Arabidopsis thaliana: one gene and its partners. The protein of the gene in region 3 interacts with the protein of the main gene of each other region in a pairwise test. Each region holds a gene or a part of one and is shown on either strand. Other genes may lie near its edges.

The links.
Region 1: the proteins of ZML2 (region 3) and AT3G58380 interact in binary tests that used the Arabidopsis thaliana proteins (3 or more experiments, as listed by UniProt).
Region 2: the proteins of ZML2 (region 3) and FASS interact in binary tests that used the Arabidopsis thaliana proteins (3 or more experiments, as listed by UniProt).

The regions. Positions count from the first base shown.
Region 1 is NC_003074.8:21,597,285-21,601,213, forward strand, and holds AT3G58380 (TRAF-like family protein), read right to left. Parts: upstream 2,325-3,929; 5' UTR 2,158-2,324; intron 1,931-2,157; 5' UTR 1,912-1,930; coding exon 1,805-1,911; intron 1,729-1,804; coding exon 1,568-1,728; intron 1,472-1,567; coding exon 1,230-1,471; intron 1,095-1,229; coding exon 681-1,094; 3' UTR 515-680; downstream 1-514. Other genes in the region: AT3G58390 (Eukaryotic release factor 1 (eRF1) family protein), read right to left, coding at 2,746-3,929.
Region 2 is NC_003076.8:6,173,302-6,178,915, forward strand, and holds FASS (tonneau 2 (TON2)), read left to right. Parts: upstream 1-1,670; 5' UTR 1,671-1,852; coding exon 1,853-1,994; intron 1,995-2,246; coding exon 2,247-2,338; intron 2,339-2,493; coding exon 2,494-2,556; intron 2,557-2,633; coding exon 2,634-2,732; intron 2,733-2,817; coding exon 2,818-2,976; intron 2,977-3,208; coding exon 3,209-3,280; intron 3,281-3,423; coding exon 3,424-3,556; intron 3,557-3,650; coding exon 3,651-3,715; intron 3,716-3,826; coding exon 3,827-3,902; intron 3,903-4,012; coding exon 4,013-4,114; intron 4,115-4,199; coding exon 4,200-4,392; intron 4,393-4,402; exon of another isoform or gene 4,403-4,666; coding exon 4,667-4,913; 3' UTR 4,914-5,100; downstream 5,101-5,614. Other genes in the region: EMB269 (GTP1/OBG family protein), read right to left, coding at 417-1,522; AT5G18590 (Galactose oxidase/kelch repeat superfamily protein), read right to left, coding at 5,215-5,295, 5,380-5,439, 5,525-5,614. UniProt on the Arabidopsis thaliana protein: Probable regulatory subunit of type 2A protein phosphatase involved in the control of the dynamic organization of the cortical cytoskeleton.
Region 3 is NC_003070.9:19,130,439-19,136,179, forward strand, and holds ZML2 (ZIM-LIKE 2), read left to right. Parts: upstream 1-1,782; 5' UTR 1,783-2,228; intron 2,229-2,716; 5' UTR 2,717-2,737; coding exon 2,738-3,043; intron 3,044-3,216; coding exon 3,217-3,309; intron 3,310-3,398; coding exon 3,399-3,532; intron 3,533-3,640; coding exon 3,641-3,772; intron 3,773-4,361; coding exon 4,362-4,467; intron 4,468-4,580; coding exon 4,581-4,649; intron 4,650-4,745; coding exon 4,746-4,814; 3' UTR 4,815-5,192; downstream 5,193-5,741. Other genes in the region: MNS1 (alpha-mannosidase 1), read right to left, coding at 39-213, 354-419, 540-652, 912-1,073, 1,154-1,201, 1,536-1,694. UniProt on the Arabidopsis thaliana protein: Transcriptional activator that specifically binds 5'-GATA-3' or 5'-GAT-3' motifs within gene promoters.

The DNA.
Region 1 (3,929 bases), on a different chromosome or scaffold from region 3:
ACATAAAGACGTCAAGGTCGAACCAAACGCTTTAAAAAAAACTAAACTCTACCTTAATGAGAAGAGACAATGAAAAGGGTTGTTCTAAGACAACAGTCAACGGAGACTAAGGGAAAAAAGGGTTTCAGACTCTGAACGCTTACATGAATGCAAATCAAATTTTATTAGGAAAGTGAATCACTTTTATATGGCTTAGGAAACATGACTTGAAAACTAGAGTAACTAATGTTGTATATAATTTAATGCATACTATAAATAATCAATAGTTTCCCCAACCATGGTGATTTACCAGGGATACTCTGTCTCTCTTGTTACTCAGTTTCCAAAATTTCCATATTCAAAAATTTAGATTGTATAATTTAAACACACTTTAGTTTGGATATGATCAAGGGTAGTTACTTGATACAGTTTAGCTCCTATATTCAAGGGATTGCATATATTTCATTTTCAAGGGATTAACTACTTCTTCTATGTTCTGCTTTGATTTATTGATTTCTTCTAGAAAACACATCTTAAACTTTTCTAAATTTAATGTTGGTTAAAGTAATTTAAAAAAAAAACACTTCAAGCGCACAATGCTTTAGCACAAAATGCCTAAGAAAGAACTCAAGACATCAACCTATAGAGGATCTCCACAAAATGTCTCTGCCTTATCAGAGGGCAGTTTTTCAAAGCCTTGTCTAAAACATCTTAAGAACATCATTGAACGAGAGAGGAACATTAGCGGTCAAGTCATTTGCTTTCTCCTTGTCTAGAATATCTTTCAGGTCTAAGCGTTTCTGATTGAGTTTCTGCAAATCTTCCTCTATTTGTTGCAGCCGAGCCTTACCATTATCCACATTCTTCTTCTTTTCCTTTACTTCCTTGAGCTTCTTCTCCAACCAATCCACTTTAAAGCCACCTTGTGACACGAATAAAACTGCAATGGATGCTTCATCCAGATCAGTATCAGAGAGCTCCGCAGGCAGTTGGCACAGCGTTTCAATTATTCCGAGGAGTACATTCATGTATAATGTCTTCAGACATGGTTTCATTGAAGGGACTTCTGATGCAATGTTTGGGTATATTTCAAATATACGCTTCACAGATTCTACCTGTGAAAGAAGAAGAAAAAAATATCATAAAAGCTTTAGAAGCCCTGAATACATACAGAAACATTTTGTACATCAGAGTATTTAAATACAGAAAACCACAAAGAAGTATACTCGCATTAATCTTAAGTTTCTTACCTGTGAAGGAAGAACTTGAAACCCATTGACATCAATGATTTGTTGAGTCTGTTTGAGTAAATCAATAGAGTTGGCACCATCATTATTTGATGTGCCAATAACTTCAAGAGAAACAACCTCAATAACAATTGTTATTTCTCGGCAAATCAGAAACCCTGCATCTCTTGCAAGAAGGTTGAAAGGGGGTGGTACTGTTGGATAACTACAAGCGGGAAGATTCTCATCAAAGTATAGGTCTGAATCTGTAGCATCACCACAAGTATTAAAACATCAATATCACATTAAAACTAATCTAAATCAGTCACTCATTTTGCAAAAAGTATAAATAGAAGAATAACCTGTCACAATGGAGCGTTTATGAGAAATTCCATTTACTATAGTTAAGCGAAGTTTTACATGTCTTCTCCATGAAGAAGTCAGTGATTGACAAGAATCAGCAACCCCCATGTATTGATAGAAGAACTCATAGTTAGTTCCCTTTGGTAAGGCTAGAAGACGCCTACAAAAAAAATCAAATCACCAGAACATAATTAGATGAAAAGTACGTTTGGAACAAAAGTTGGTTCAGTTTTTACCATCTACTGCCAGCAATCAGAAAGGGATCAGAATGACTCTGCTTAGGATAAAAAACGTTGAGATCCTTTATCACCCAGACAAATTTCTTGTCAACTTCCTTCTCCATTATATTACTCGCAATGAAACTACAACAGCATGAAGAGAATTAAACCAAATTCATGTACCTACCAATCAAAGTATCAAACACACACACTCTCCAACAAATTCTTTCTTAGTTTAACAAAGATTTTACTATGAACTCAAAGACATATGAAGTTTCAGCCAGCAGTTTAAACTACTTAAAACTAGTTGACCGTAGTTGAGGAAAAGAAATATTCTAAGACATGCAAGATTAAGGGAATAAAGCGATTACCCTTGAGAGGCGAGTTGAAAGAGAAACAGCGACTCAGAAGTCAGAACTCGTACCCACTTTGTCCAAGTTAGTCCAAGTTTGTCAGAGCTACGAACCCAATCCAAAAACCAAATTACTTGGATCGAATAGTTCAAAAACGAGATTCAACCATTTTTATAACATTAATCCTCTAAACCAAAAAAAGGGAGATATCCAATTCCAATAAGGAAAGAAACTAAAATCCCTTCTTTGGAATTGACTTTTCCAATAAGGAAAGAAACTTGGACTTGAGATTCTGTTTCCTTTTTTCTTGGTGAATAGACCTTCCAAGGCTTTTTAGGTCCTTTTGTGTTAAAGAGAGGAACAGGATGCCAAACGTTTTCAAAAGGGGTTGCCAATTTCTTTTTTGATTTTTTTTTTTTTAGTAAAGGATACAGATTTTTACAGTAAACTTAGGAAATATTTGTTTAATTTAATGAAGATAACTGACGCTTTTATATATATAATCTTGCAACAATTTGTTCAAGTCATACCCTTACAAAACAAGTAACTAAATATTAGAGCAGAAGTGAATAAAAGAACCTAAAAGATTTTCTTAGAAATACTATGTTACATCTCAATGTCTTCTAGATCTGGTAAAGGGAACCTAAGAATAGCTGCAATTCCAGTATGCTGTGCTAGTTGTTCCCCTGAAGCATGCATTGACGAAAATATAAAAACCTCTCCTCCTGAATCTTTCACCGACTCCACAAAATCCACATACTTCTTCCTTGTTTTCACGTCAGAGTTCCTAAATAGCCCATCTATAATGAGAAGTGTTTGGATTGCCATTCGTTCATGAGCAACTTCCACATGTTTTGGTCCATAACATGCTCTATTTGGATCATTCGAAAACATGGTGAAGAAATCGTTGAGAGCTTTGACCTCTTTTGCTGCTTTAGTATCTTTGATCATATTCATCACGTTAGGGTCATGCAAAACCTCGCTTAGGCTATGTTTATATCCTGAGTTTGTGTGCACCAGAATGAAACGTGATTTGTTCTCAAGAATAGGTCTCAACTGTCTTCTCTCTGCTTCCAACAATAGGTGGCGATGAAACTGATCTTTTGTAAACCCGGGACTTGCAATCACTGCGCATCGAACCACACTGAAGTCAACGTGTTTCAGAAAGGCTTGCACAACATTCTCAAAGAATTTCTTCAAAACTGACTCGTAACCAGCCGTTCCAGCTCCATGCTTCCAAGGAATCGATGTTTTTATTCGTGCACCGCAACTTTTTACACTTTTGCCGGCAAGGAAGATTTGTGCCAGTCCTTCTTGCATTAGAACTACAGCTAAATCAGCACTAGCTGCAAGATCTGAGGCCTGCTTGAGTGTATCAAGAGCCAGTGAGTCCCAATTTTCCTTTCTCAATAAAAAAGGTCGTTTAAGCTCAATCTCCAAAGTATGGAATGCACCAATCCTTACATGCTCGTTCTCCATGATATTCTTCCCGCGTATGCGCATAACATCGCCGTCTTTGTCATAGTCCACCTCCTCAACTTGTACTTCTAGCTTAAGTTTAACACGTTCAGTCCGGGTGAAAGATCTTTTCTTTCCAAGGTATTTGCTTTCTATTCGACTTAGCGATGGAGTCGAGTCTCTTCCTTCACCACCAACTTTTCTGAAAGTGATAGCCATTACACTATCCTCCGGGCCAATCAGGTTATAAGTATACCAGAGATCATCCGAGTCCTCTGCCATCATCTTAACGCTTCCGGGTCCATTACGAACAAAATCCTTGCGAATGATTT
Region 2 (5,614 bases), on a different chromosome or scaffold from region 3:
AGTCTATAGATAACCCAGAAACTCATATCCGTTCATAATACTCTAACATACCTCTATCAACATGAGCTTTTCTACTAGCAGAGTCAGCAATGGAAGACTTTCAAAAGTCCTGTACCTGTATCTATATATAAATTCTTGTATAGTGAGCATTACTTACAAGATGAGATTTCCTCTGGAGATTAACCGAGATACTAAACCTAACCCAGATGATCGAATGAAGGAAGCAGGGCTCACATGTAAACATCAAGCTTTACCAAACAAAAGAAATACAAATCAACTGTTCCTAAACCAAAATGAAATTTTTACATCTTTGAACAATCTAGCTTCTGTGATTAGTTTATCCTATCAAAGCTTGTAACCATCATCAACACACTAAACTAAAACCAGCTCAAAAATGAAGAAAAATACACACTTACATTTCAGGACCTTCTTCGCCATTCTCAGCAATCCTAGGAACTTTATTCATCCCCGACTTAAACGAAGCATTCCCTCGTCCACCTCTCCCTCCAGGCAACAACAACGCCCTCTGTCCCGGATGCAACAACTCCAAAAGCACCTCCTTCTCCTCCCCTTCCTCACCCTCCACCTCACTCCCAACCTCTCTAGCCTGTCTAACCACCGTCCCAGGAGCCACTTTCACCACGACATTATCACCTTTAGCTCCACTCTGCATCTTCCCTCTCCCATGTTCCCCACGTCCCGCCCTGAAATGCACACTCTTGCGAAATGGCAACAACGAATTCATAGACCCATCAACCTCTACATACACATTCCCTCCTCTCCCTCCATCTCCACCTGAAGGTCCTCCAAAAGGAACAAACTTTTCTCTCCTAAACGCCACCACACCATTCCCTCCATCTCCGGCTCTAACATATATCTTCGCTCTATCGAAACACCTCATCACAGCCGGAACTCCTTTCTCCTTCACCCCAATTTCATCCTCTTCCTCTTCACCGGAGAAACATAACACTTCTCCATCCTTCAATTCAGACCCTTCACTATCATCTTTCTCCGCATCAGTTTCATCACCATACTCAAACACTTCGTCTTCCCAATCTTCATCATCTTCATCAATTGATCTTGAACTCCCTTCAAACACATCTAATCTTCTGTAATTTCCCCAAATATCATCATCATCATAACTCTTCACCTCCTTTTCTTTCTCTTCTTCCTCAATTTCCCTCAAAGTTTCAATCTTTTCCTCAACCCTCGCGACATTGGACTCAGATAGCTTCACTTCTTCAGAAACTTTTAAATAAGATGAAGACAAAAGAGAGACATCATAGTAATCTTCCCTAGGAGGAAGACGTGTATAAGTAGTGGCTTCGCCGCCGGCATCAGAAACTGGCTGGAGTTTATCACCGCCTCGAGATTTAAGCTCGACTTCGCGTTGAAGCTTCGTTTTTCTAGGGCTTCGGGTTCTTCCCGAGACTTTGTCAGGTTTAGCGAAAATCTTCCTCGTCCTACTGGGTCGGGCTAGAGCTTGAGGAGTGAAGAAACAGTTAATGGATATGGAAGCCATTTGTTTCTCTGATAAATCTTAACGGGACTTTATGTGATATAAACAACATTTTGTACTAAATATTGATTTTTCAAAGTAAAGGGGGTTACAATCAAAAGTAGTATAAAATTGAGGACTTATATAGCAAACAAGGAGAAACTTTTATTACCTTTGAAGTTTGAAGCTTGGATCTCGCAGATTGAGCTCCAGAGAGGGAGAGAGAGAGAAAGGGGGCGCTTTAGGGTTTCTGCAGTTCCTGGTTCAGTCTCACCATTCTATTTAAGGGTTTTAATCTCTCTGCTTCATTTGGTGACTAACATTTATCGTCGAGGGTTGTGACGATCTCCGAGAATGTATAGCGGATCTAGCGATGGTGAGAGTCATGATACATCGACGCAGAGGAAGATCCCACCGGCGTCTTCGATGCTTTGGGTTAGAAATCTACGACGATATATTGGTTCCGGTGCCGGATTAGGATCCGAAGCTCTAATGGGTAATGTTCCTTTTGCCGGTTGTTGCGTTTTGGTTGTTGGGACAGTCTGTAGTTTTTTTATCTTTTAGCTTGTGATGATGTCATAAATTCTGTAAAGTTTGAATCTTTGATCACATTTTAGAGCTCGTTGTGTTTTCAATATGAGTAAAGTTCCTGAATTTACATGTCTATGTATTGAAAGACTATGTTTAACTGTGATAGAGTCTTTGGTTTTGCTTAGTTTGATAAGGGTTTGTGTTCATTGTTTTGTAGAGCTTGAGACGAAGAGAATCTTGCTCGAGATTTTTAAAGAGAAGCAACAGAAAAGCCAAGAAGCAGGCACAATACCGAGTTTCTACAAGAAGGCATGTCCCTTACTCTGTATAAAATGATTGCCTTTGCATTTCAAGGCACTACTCGGTTAAAATATTGCATTGTGTTATACACTTCATAGAAGTTGTTTTTCCTTTTAAGTATTCGTGTTAGGCAATAAAATTTTGTTCCTTTACTCTTGGTTCAGAAACCAGAAGAAGGATCTATTAGTCAAAGGGTCCAGAAGCTTGCAAAGTACCGTTTCTTGAAGGTATTTCGCCTGCTCTTAATTATTCAGAAGAAGTTTAATGTTTTTGCTCACTTCGATATGTTGATTAATTCCCACAGAAACAATCGGATCTTTTGTTAAACGCTGATGATTTGGCTGCTATGTGGGTTTGTTTGAGAGAAAATTGTGTGATTGATGATGCCACTGGTGCTGAAAAGGTACGTGCATCTTTTATAGGATTTTTCTCTGGAGCTGAAACTATGTTAACAATGATGCTGATATTGCGCTGTCTTTTTCATGTAGATGAACTATGAAGACTTCTGTCACATTGCCTCTGTATGCACTGAACAAATCGGTCCCAAATGTCGCCGGTTTTTTAGCCCATCCAATTTCATGAAATTTGAGAAGGATGAGGCTGGGAGGATTGCCATTTTACCGTTTTATCTTTATGTGATGCGCACGGTGAGTATCCTTATGTTTTTATAATGTCATGTCTTTGGGTATCATTTTTGTTCATTGGCTGAATATCATCTGTCGCCATAAGCTAAATATTCTTTGGTACTGTGTTTGAGTGACACCAGCTTTGCTAGTTTTGGATGTTTGTTTTTCAAGTTTTTTTAATTTGGCGTGTCTTTTACTTAAACAACTATAGTTAATACTTGTTTTGATTAATCATATGTTCAACACTATTCAGGTGTCGCTTACACAAGCTAGGATTGATATGAGTGAGCTTGACGAAGACTCTGATGGTTTCCTTCATTCTGATGTAAGTACTCAAGTGGCTCTAAAGCTTTAACTTTAGAATTGGCTCAAGATTCTTTAGGTAGTCGTCCTACCTGCAAATGTCAAATGGTGTTGACTTTTATGTCAAGTTCCTTACAGTTAGTCTACTTGCTGTTGTTATTATAGGAAATGGAGTCCTATATTGGTGGTCTAATCCCTAATCTGGCACAACTGAGAGACATGCCTCCGGCCTTTAATCAAATGTATTGCCGCATAGCTTCACAAAAGTTTTTCTTCTTCTGTGATCCCCATAGGCGAGGTAAGTGAAAGAAAATATTATTATTATTAGGCAATTAGAAATTTCTTTGACCCAGTATTCAATCGCTCGTAAATGTGATATTTTTTGCGTACAGGAAGAGCCTGCATTAAAAAGATACTGCTCAGTAACTGTCTGCAGGAACTAATGGAATTGCATCAGGTAAGTTTAGTTGAAGGATGTATGACATACAGCTTCGTCACCGTATAACTTTCCACTTTCATAAGCTACTTGCTTGTGTTTTCTGATTGTTCCTTGGTTACTCAACGTTAGGAAAGCGAGGAGGAAGTCACAGACACTGAACAGGCAGAAAATTGGTTCTCTTTGACTTCAGCCCAACGCATATGTGGTGGGTGTGCTATTTTGTCTTAATAGCTGCAGAGAACTGGAAACAACTCTCGTTATGTCATATTAAGAACTAAAATGGAGATTGATCTAGAGTTTCTCTTTCTTCTGTAGATATGTTCCTCGCACTTGATAAAGATATGAGTGGATCGCTGTGCAAACAAGAACTTAAAGAATATGCTGATGGGACCCTAACTGAGATTTTCATTGAAAGAGGTAAATTTAAGCCCTTTTGGTGATTGTAGGCTCGTGGTACTGATCGAGACACGCTTAGTATACTAATTCCCCTTTGTTTTTTTAGTGTTCGATGAGCATGTCCGCCGTGGTAAAATCGTGGCAGGCAATTCCCGGGAAATGGACTTTGACAGTTTCCTCGATTTTGTTCTTGCTTTGGAGAACAAAGATACTCCAGAGGGTTTGACGTATTTATTCCGTTGCCTTGATCTCCAAGGGAGAGGCTTTCTCACTACTGCTGATATTCACTCTCTTTTCAGGTAATGAATCTCTATGAAGCGACTGAATCTGTTTGGTTTCTTACTTTTTAGTAAATTTTGTTTGAAACATGGAAGTAAAGAAGGGGAGCATCAAAGAGTTGTGATGTTATCTGATACAATCTTCCTAAATAAACACTCTGCATTTCCTGCTTGCGGAAGCTGAGCTTTGTTCCGCGAGTCTCATATCTGCAAAGACACTAGTGCATATCAAACACACCATTGATGTGTGATAATGCCATTGTCTCTCTTCTGAATTCATCTGTTTAACTTGCAGAGATGTTCACCAGAAATGGATAGAAGGTGGGAACTATGAACTGTGCATAGAAGATGTTCGAGACGAGATCTGGGACATGGTGAAACCGTCTGACCCATTAAAGATCACTCTGGGTGATCTCTTGGGATGTAAACAAGGTGGAACCGTTGCGAGCATGCTTATAGATGTGCGTGGCTTCTGGGCTCATGACAACCGTGAGAACCTTCTTCAAGAAGAAGAAGAACCACCTGAGGAAGAGTCTCAGTGATAATGTTATTTTCTATGTCTACCTAAAAAAAATGCTAAATCATTGAGATCAAAAGTCTCGCACTAGTAAACAGTCTCATCTCATGTGTGTGTATCTTTGTAAGCTTATTAGTTGGTGACGTTTAATGAAATGGCTGTTTATATCGTCACTTGTCTTATTCTACTTGGGATCTGATTTGATTTTTGACATTTCTGAATTCACTTCTATTATACATTACTCCACAACACACATGAATTCAGTCATGTCTCGAGTACTACAAAATGGAAGTCATAAAAGTTATCGTGTTGTCTCTGGTCTGTGTTTAGACATGGAAAGGCTTTCTGGGTGTAGCAGCTCTGTTCTCTAGAGATTGTAATCTTTGCTTCAGATGAAACACTTCAACCTGCGTTCATCTCAAGTTTTTAGAACAATACTACATTTTGAAAATGCAAATTTGAATAGAGTCTATTGATGATTATGATGACACCTGCAACTGGAACGCTCTTGCTCTTTCTCCTGCAAGAACTCCTCTTGTTGAATGCAACTCCTACAAAACCCATAACACAAAACGGTATTAAACTTTAATCCTCAGTCTTTTGAAAACGCTTGTATATCTACTAGGATTATTTTACCTTTTGTGTATCGTCTAGGACAGCTTTGAGGAACGCTACATCATGCTCAAGCCTGACATTGTCGGAGTGAACCATGTTTGACAAACTATT
Region 3 (5,741 bases):
AATACAACATACACGGCACTCAGTAATCTAGGACTCACCCCTGCCGCCCATGAAGGATTGTGAGCATTTCCATTTCTCAAGTTGATAATATTGTAAGGTATACCCGTTGGAGTATTCCATGCAGGCAATAATCTGTCTGCAATATCCTTAGCCTTTTCAAGGAACATTTTGTCCCCAGAAAGATCATACGCACTAAGAAGTCCGCCTACAACTCTGAAGGCAGATAAAGAAAAAGAATATAAGCAGATGCAATATCCGTTCCCCATCTTATGTCACCAACTGATAATCGCAAATAAACTGACTCTTCCTACGATAATTACAGAAAACAACCACAGTAAACCTGTTAAAGCCACCTTATGGTTGTCTCAAACATACTGGCGTCATAATCCTTGTCGAAATCCAATGAGCTTGCAACCCACCTGCAAATAAAAGACAATAAGCAAATGAAGATTAGCAAAGATGAAGAAGTAAAAAGTTGGATTTGCAACTGGGACGAAAACAGTTACATATGAATAAATGAAGAGCCTGCAATTACTCACTCTCTGGCTTTTTGAAACTGCTCATCTAGACCCATTATATAGAGTGTATCTAAAGAATCTACCATAGTTGCTCCAAGGCCACCAAAGCTATCAGTGCCATCTTTTGTCCGAGGCTGACAATAAAAAAAGGAAAGAAACAAGAATAGCTTCAGACCAATATTTTTTTTGCAGAGTTCAGGAAGAAAATAATCTTAGTTCTTAACAAAATCTTTGTAGGCCTGGTAACTTCAGATAAGCTCATAATAAAAGGCTCAACAGGATACTGGAAGAGCAGGCACTAAACGTCAAAATAAAATTTGATTCATAGAGTCCGTCGTAAACTAGATTTCGTATTCACAAGGGTGAAATGTATTTTGGAAAATAATTGTATACCTGAAGCTCATCTTTCCCCCATGCATACTTTTCATAAGAGCTCCAAGCATGGATCATTGCCTCTTTTACTTTCTGCCTTCGCTGTTTATCAACTGGATCTTCTGGGGCATCCTTCAGAGTCTTCAAAGGCTTATTGCCAACACCACCATTAAGCTCTTCTAACTAGCGGAAAATATAGTTAGTTAGCTAAAACATTAGAAAGACTATCTGAGCCTAGAGTGAGGGGAAAATATTAATCTTACCATCTGCTCCAACCGTGAAACTTCTTCATTTAGCTTAAAAACTTCAACCTGCAAGACAAAAAAAAGCAGGACAAGTGAGAGAATGATCACAAGAGAAATTGTTCACTTCCTTGACATTTTTCTTATTTTGGTTACATAGCTTCTTATAAACGAATACATGAATTGAGTCCAGAAGATATTAATTACAGCTCTTTTCTAGTAAATAAAACACCAACTGTCTTACTTATAGACCTTGAGCTATGAAGGCAATCAAACCATTCCAGGCCTAAACCATATAACCTACTTCACCAAAATTCGAATTGGCCTACCAATAAGCTATGATACAAGAACTATCTCCTACTCCTAGGCAGAGTCTAACCAGATTTCATTAGACAAAACATACCTCATGTTCTCGGGCAAGATTAATACGATCCCAGACAAGCATAGAAACAGAGACGAAGACAATGAAAAGCAAAGCCAAACGTCTCGGTCTTCTAAGATAATACGCAGGATTCAAATATTTCCATATCCCATAACCACTAATCGATCTACTTCTCGCCATCTCTCTTCTCAACCCACTCAACAAAAACAGAGACCAATTGAGAAATCAGTGTCCATGAAACAGAGCAAGACAAAAGTTAAAAGCTTTTAAATTTCTGATCCGAAAAGAGTAAGAAACCGAGAGAGAAATAAGTCTCTCAAAGAACAAAAGTTATAGATCCGATTTTAGTAGTTAGAAGGAGGAAGACGAAGAAAGAATTAAAAAACGAAACTTTACCCAAAAACCAAAAGAAAAGTATTTATTTATATCTCCGGCACTTTTGCTTATTTATTCTTTTGATGATAAAATAATCAATCGAGTCTCTTTAGCCCCCACTGGTTCGTCTCTTTCTTCGATTTCTCTTTCTATCTGGTTTCCATTTTCGTCTCGTTGGTGTTCTGGTGGGTTTGGTTTGTCTCTGTTCTTCTATTTGTGGCGTTATCCATCGGTTCAATTGTCATCTTCATCGTTTCCGTCGTGTTATTTGGTGTTTCTCGTTTGGGTCTTTCGAACATCTTTCATTCTTCTCTTTTTGGTGTTGCTCCCCACGAACAGGTAACATCATCTTAACTCTTATATTGGTTTCGTGTGTCGTAATGAGGAACCTATATTTCAATGGTTTTGGATGTCGCTTTGTTTCAGGATTTGCTTTTGTTTCTTAGGGTTTATTTTGTTTGTTGAAATTATAAGTGAGTTTGTGGAATTGGTATAATATGGTTTATGTAAGGCTTAGAGCGTGGAAATATTGAAACTTTGGATTGAATCTGATTGATGCAAATATGTTAGAAGTCTGTGTTAATCTCTTGAAAACAAGCATTGATCCATAAGGTTTCCTGAATTTATGTATAGTGTTAGTTAGAACTTATATGTAAGTTGCTCCAATGACCGAGGAAGTAAGGTTATATAGTATGTGAATCATGTTTTGCTTAGAGCTGATTTGATTTGTCTGGTCATCCATGAATCGTGCTTATGAAGATTAGGTGTTTTTGTTTGAAGTTTCCAGTTTTAATGTTAATTTGTTTTACTTTCACTGTTATCATTAGGTAGATTGATGAAAAGCAACCATGGATGACCTACATGGAAGCAATGCTCGAATGCACATTAGAGAAGCTCAAGATCCAATGCATGTGCAATTTGAACATCATGCTTTGCATCACATCCACAATGGAAGCGGTATGGTTGATGACCAGGCTGATGATGGCAATGCTGGTGGGATGAGTGAGGGTGTGGAAACAGACATTCCTTCTCACCCTGGAAATGTAACTGACAATCGTGGTGAAGTGGTCGACCGTGGTAGTGAACAAGGAGATCAGTTAACATTGTCTTTTCAGGGCCAAGTCTACGTTTTTGACAGTGTCTTGCCTGAGAAGGTGAGTTAAGTTGTTACTGAGTTGGTTCGTTGATTGTCTCATTCCATTAGAATTTATATTCTTACTCCAAGCCACATTTTAGCAAGTGGTTGAAGGATCTAGTTAGCTTTGAGTTTTTTCCATCTATTGATTCTAATGTGTGAGTGCCTCTTGCTATTCGACGCCTGTTGCAGGTTCAAGCTGTGCTTCTATTATTGGGTGGTCGTGAATTACCTCAGGCAGCCCCTCCTGGCCTAGGATCACCTCATCAGAACAACAGAGTATCGGTAATAAAATATATGATGGCATTTATGGGACATAAGTTCCCTTCCTTGATACATTGCTTGACTGACTGACTGACTAATCAATGAAACAGAGTTTACCTGGTACTCCTCAAAGGTTTAGTATTCCGCAGCGATTAGCTTCTTTGGTCAGATTTCGAGAGAAACGGAAAGGAAGGAATTTTGATAAGAAGATTCGGTATACAGTCCGCAAGGAGGTAGCTTTGAGGTACATTGATGTCTAAATCAACAACTTGGTCTAGTTATACTTCTTTTATGGTTGCTCTCCCAAAATTAAGGTTCGCATCTTGATTACTTTTTGTTTTCTGGTATACAGGATGCAACGCAATAAAGGTCAGTTCACATCTGCCAAGTCAAACAATGATGAAGCTGCATCTGCTGGATCTAGCTGGGGGTCGAATCAAACCTGGGCCATAGAAAGTAGTGAGGCTCAGCATCAAGAGATCTCGTAAGTTTAGAAATGCTTTGAAAGTAAACTGCGAGTTCCTGACATACTTTTTAACTTGAACCAACTTAACGTAGTTATTATGGGTTTGCTAAGCAACTTTAGAAGTTGTTTTTGCTTCCAACCTAATGTAGCATCTGACTTAGTTATTAAACTGAACCATCCTAATGTAGAGATGATAGGTTTATTAAGCATCTTAGATGTTGTTTTTGGTTTCAGAAACGTTGTAGAGGTACTAGAACTCTGAAACCTATCAATGATTCAATATCAAGACATACACATTGCATATGTAATATTTAACATGAGCATGGACCTATACGAATTGGTAACATTGAAGGACCAATACAGACAAAATATTATATAAAAGCTCTTCCATGCCTGAAGCAAAATGACTTCTGTGATAGATGATTGGTTAAGACAGGTTGTGATGACTAATATTGTATCCTGGAACTGAGAATTTTTATAATAACTTTGGAATAGACAATTGTCGTTTAAGTCTTTGTAGATTTGAGTTTTTCTTCTTGATAGCCTTACTTTAGTTGGTAAGAACATATCTGATTTTACTTCCTCTGAATGGCTTGATACCTGTAAGATGTCGGCACTGTGGAATTGGCGAGAAGTCAACTCCAATGATGCGACGTGGACCTGCCGGGCCAAGAACACTTTGCAATGCATGTGGACTTATGTGGGCAAACAAGGCAAGACAATACTTGCTTCTTAATTTGATCAACTCTCTTTATCTTGCTCATTTTGTAGCACTAGTGATTCGATGATTAGTCTGTCTAAATGAGGACGACATTTATACTTTCAGGGTGCTTTTAGGGACTTATCCAAAGCCTCTCCTCAAACAGCCCAGAATCTTCCTTTAAATAAGAATGAAGTAAGCAACATCATGTTTTGACCAAACAATTTGTTGTACGAAAAGGAATCCATTCGTCTTTATCATAACTTGTGCATGTCTGATCTATCTTTGCAGGATGCAAATCTTGAGACTGATCATCAAATAATGATAACAGTGGCCAATGACATAAGCAACTCACAGTGAGGACATGTTGGCTCTTGCCATTACAAGCAAGAGAAAGATCCCAACAGAGTTTGAATCGCCTCAGGTTCTGTAGCTTTATCATTCCCTTTGAAAGAATCTGACTCGATTTAGGTTATCAGGATTTGATCTATGACAATGTAATCTGAGTGATAATGATCTGCAATGTTTTGCTTCTTCTTTTTTTATGATTCAAAAATGCTTTATAGACTGTTGTTGCATTGGTCCATACTCTGATGTAACGTCTAGTTGCAGTCTGTGTTTTACCCTATTTTAAAGACAAACTAACTTTATTTAAGAACTCACCAAAAGAGTAGTCTCCTTATGACCACAGGGTTGTTTTGGAGACTTAGTAGCCTCATGTAAAGTGAACCATGTTCAATGCCTCATGCTTCTCTAAGTCAAGAAACAAAAAGAGGCTTGTGAATTGTGATATTATTAGCCAAAGGAACTTGCCAAAGGAACTTGCCAAAACAAGGAGACAAACTAAAATGGTTCAGTGCGAATGTGACTGCTCCTTTGTTTTCAGTGGCAAAGATTTTTACACAGAATTTTGCCTAAAAGACTTTCAAATATCCCTTAGATCAAAAAAAAAAAAAAAAAAAAAAGAGACTTTAAAATATCCCAATTTGTGAGAGATATTTTAGATTCCATTTTTGTTTTTATTTTAGCTTAATAGACAAAATCTTATTTCTTGCATTTTCTCTTCTAGTGAATTGTCTCATCTTATCATGAAAATCTGAAAATCTTCTCATAGTTTCATTTTTTAATAATATTTATATTGACTTTTTAGCATACCAGTCATTACATTTCAATTTTTCTGATAAACTACATTACAATGTTATTAGTTAATTTATGAGAGCTAAGCTTTGGAAATAAATGGTATAAAAGAATATTCTTATAATCTTTGTGGACAAAAGATTATTATCT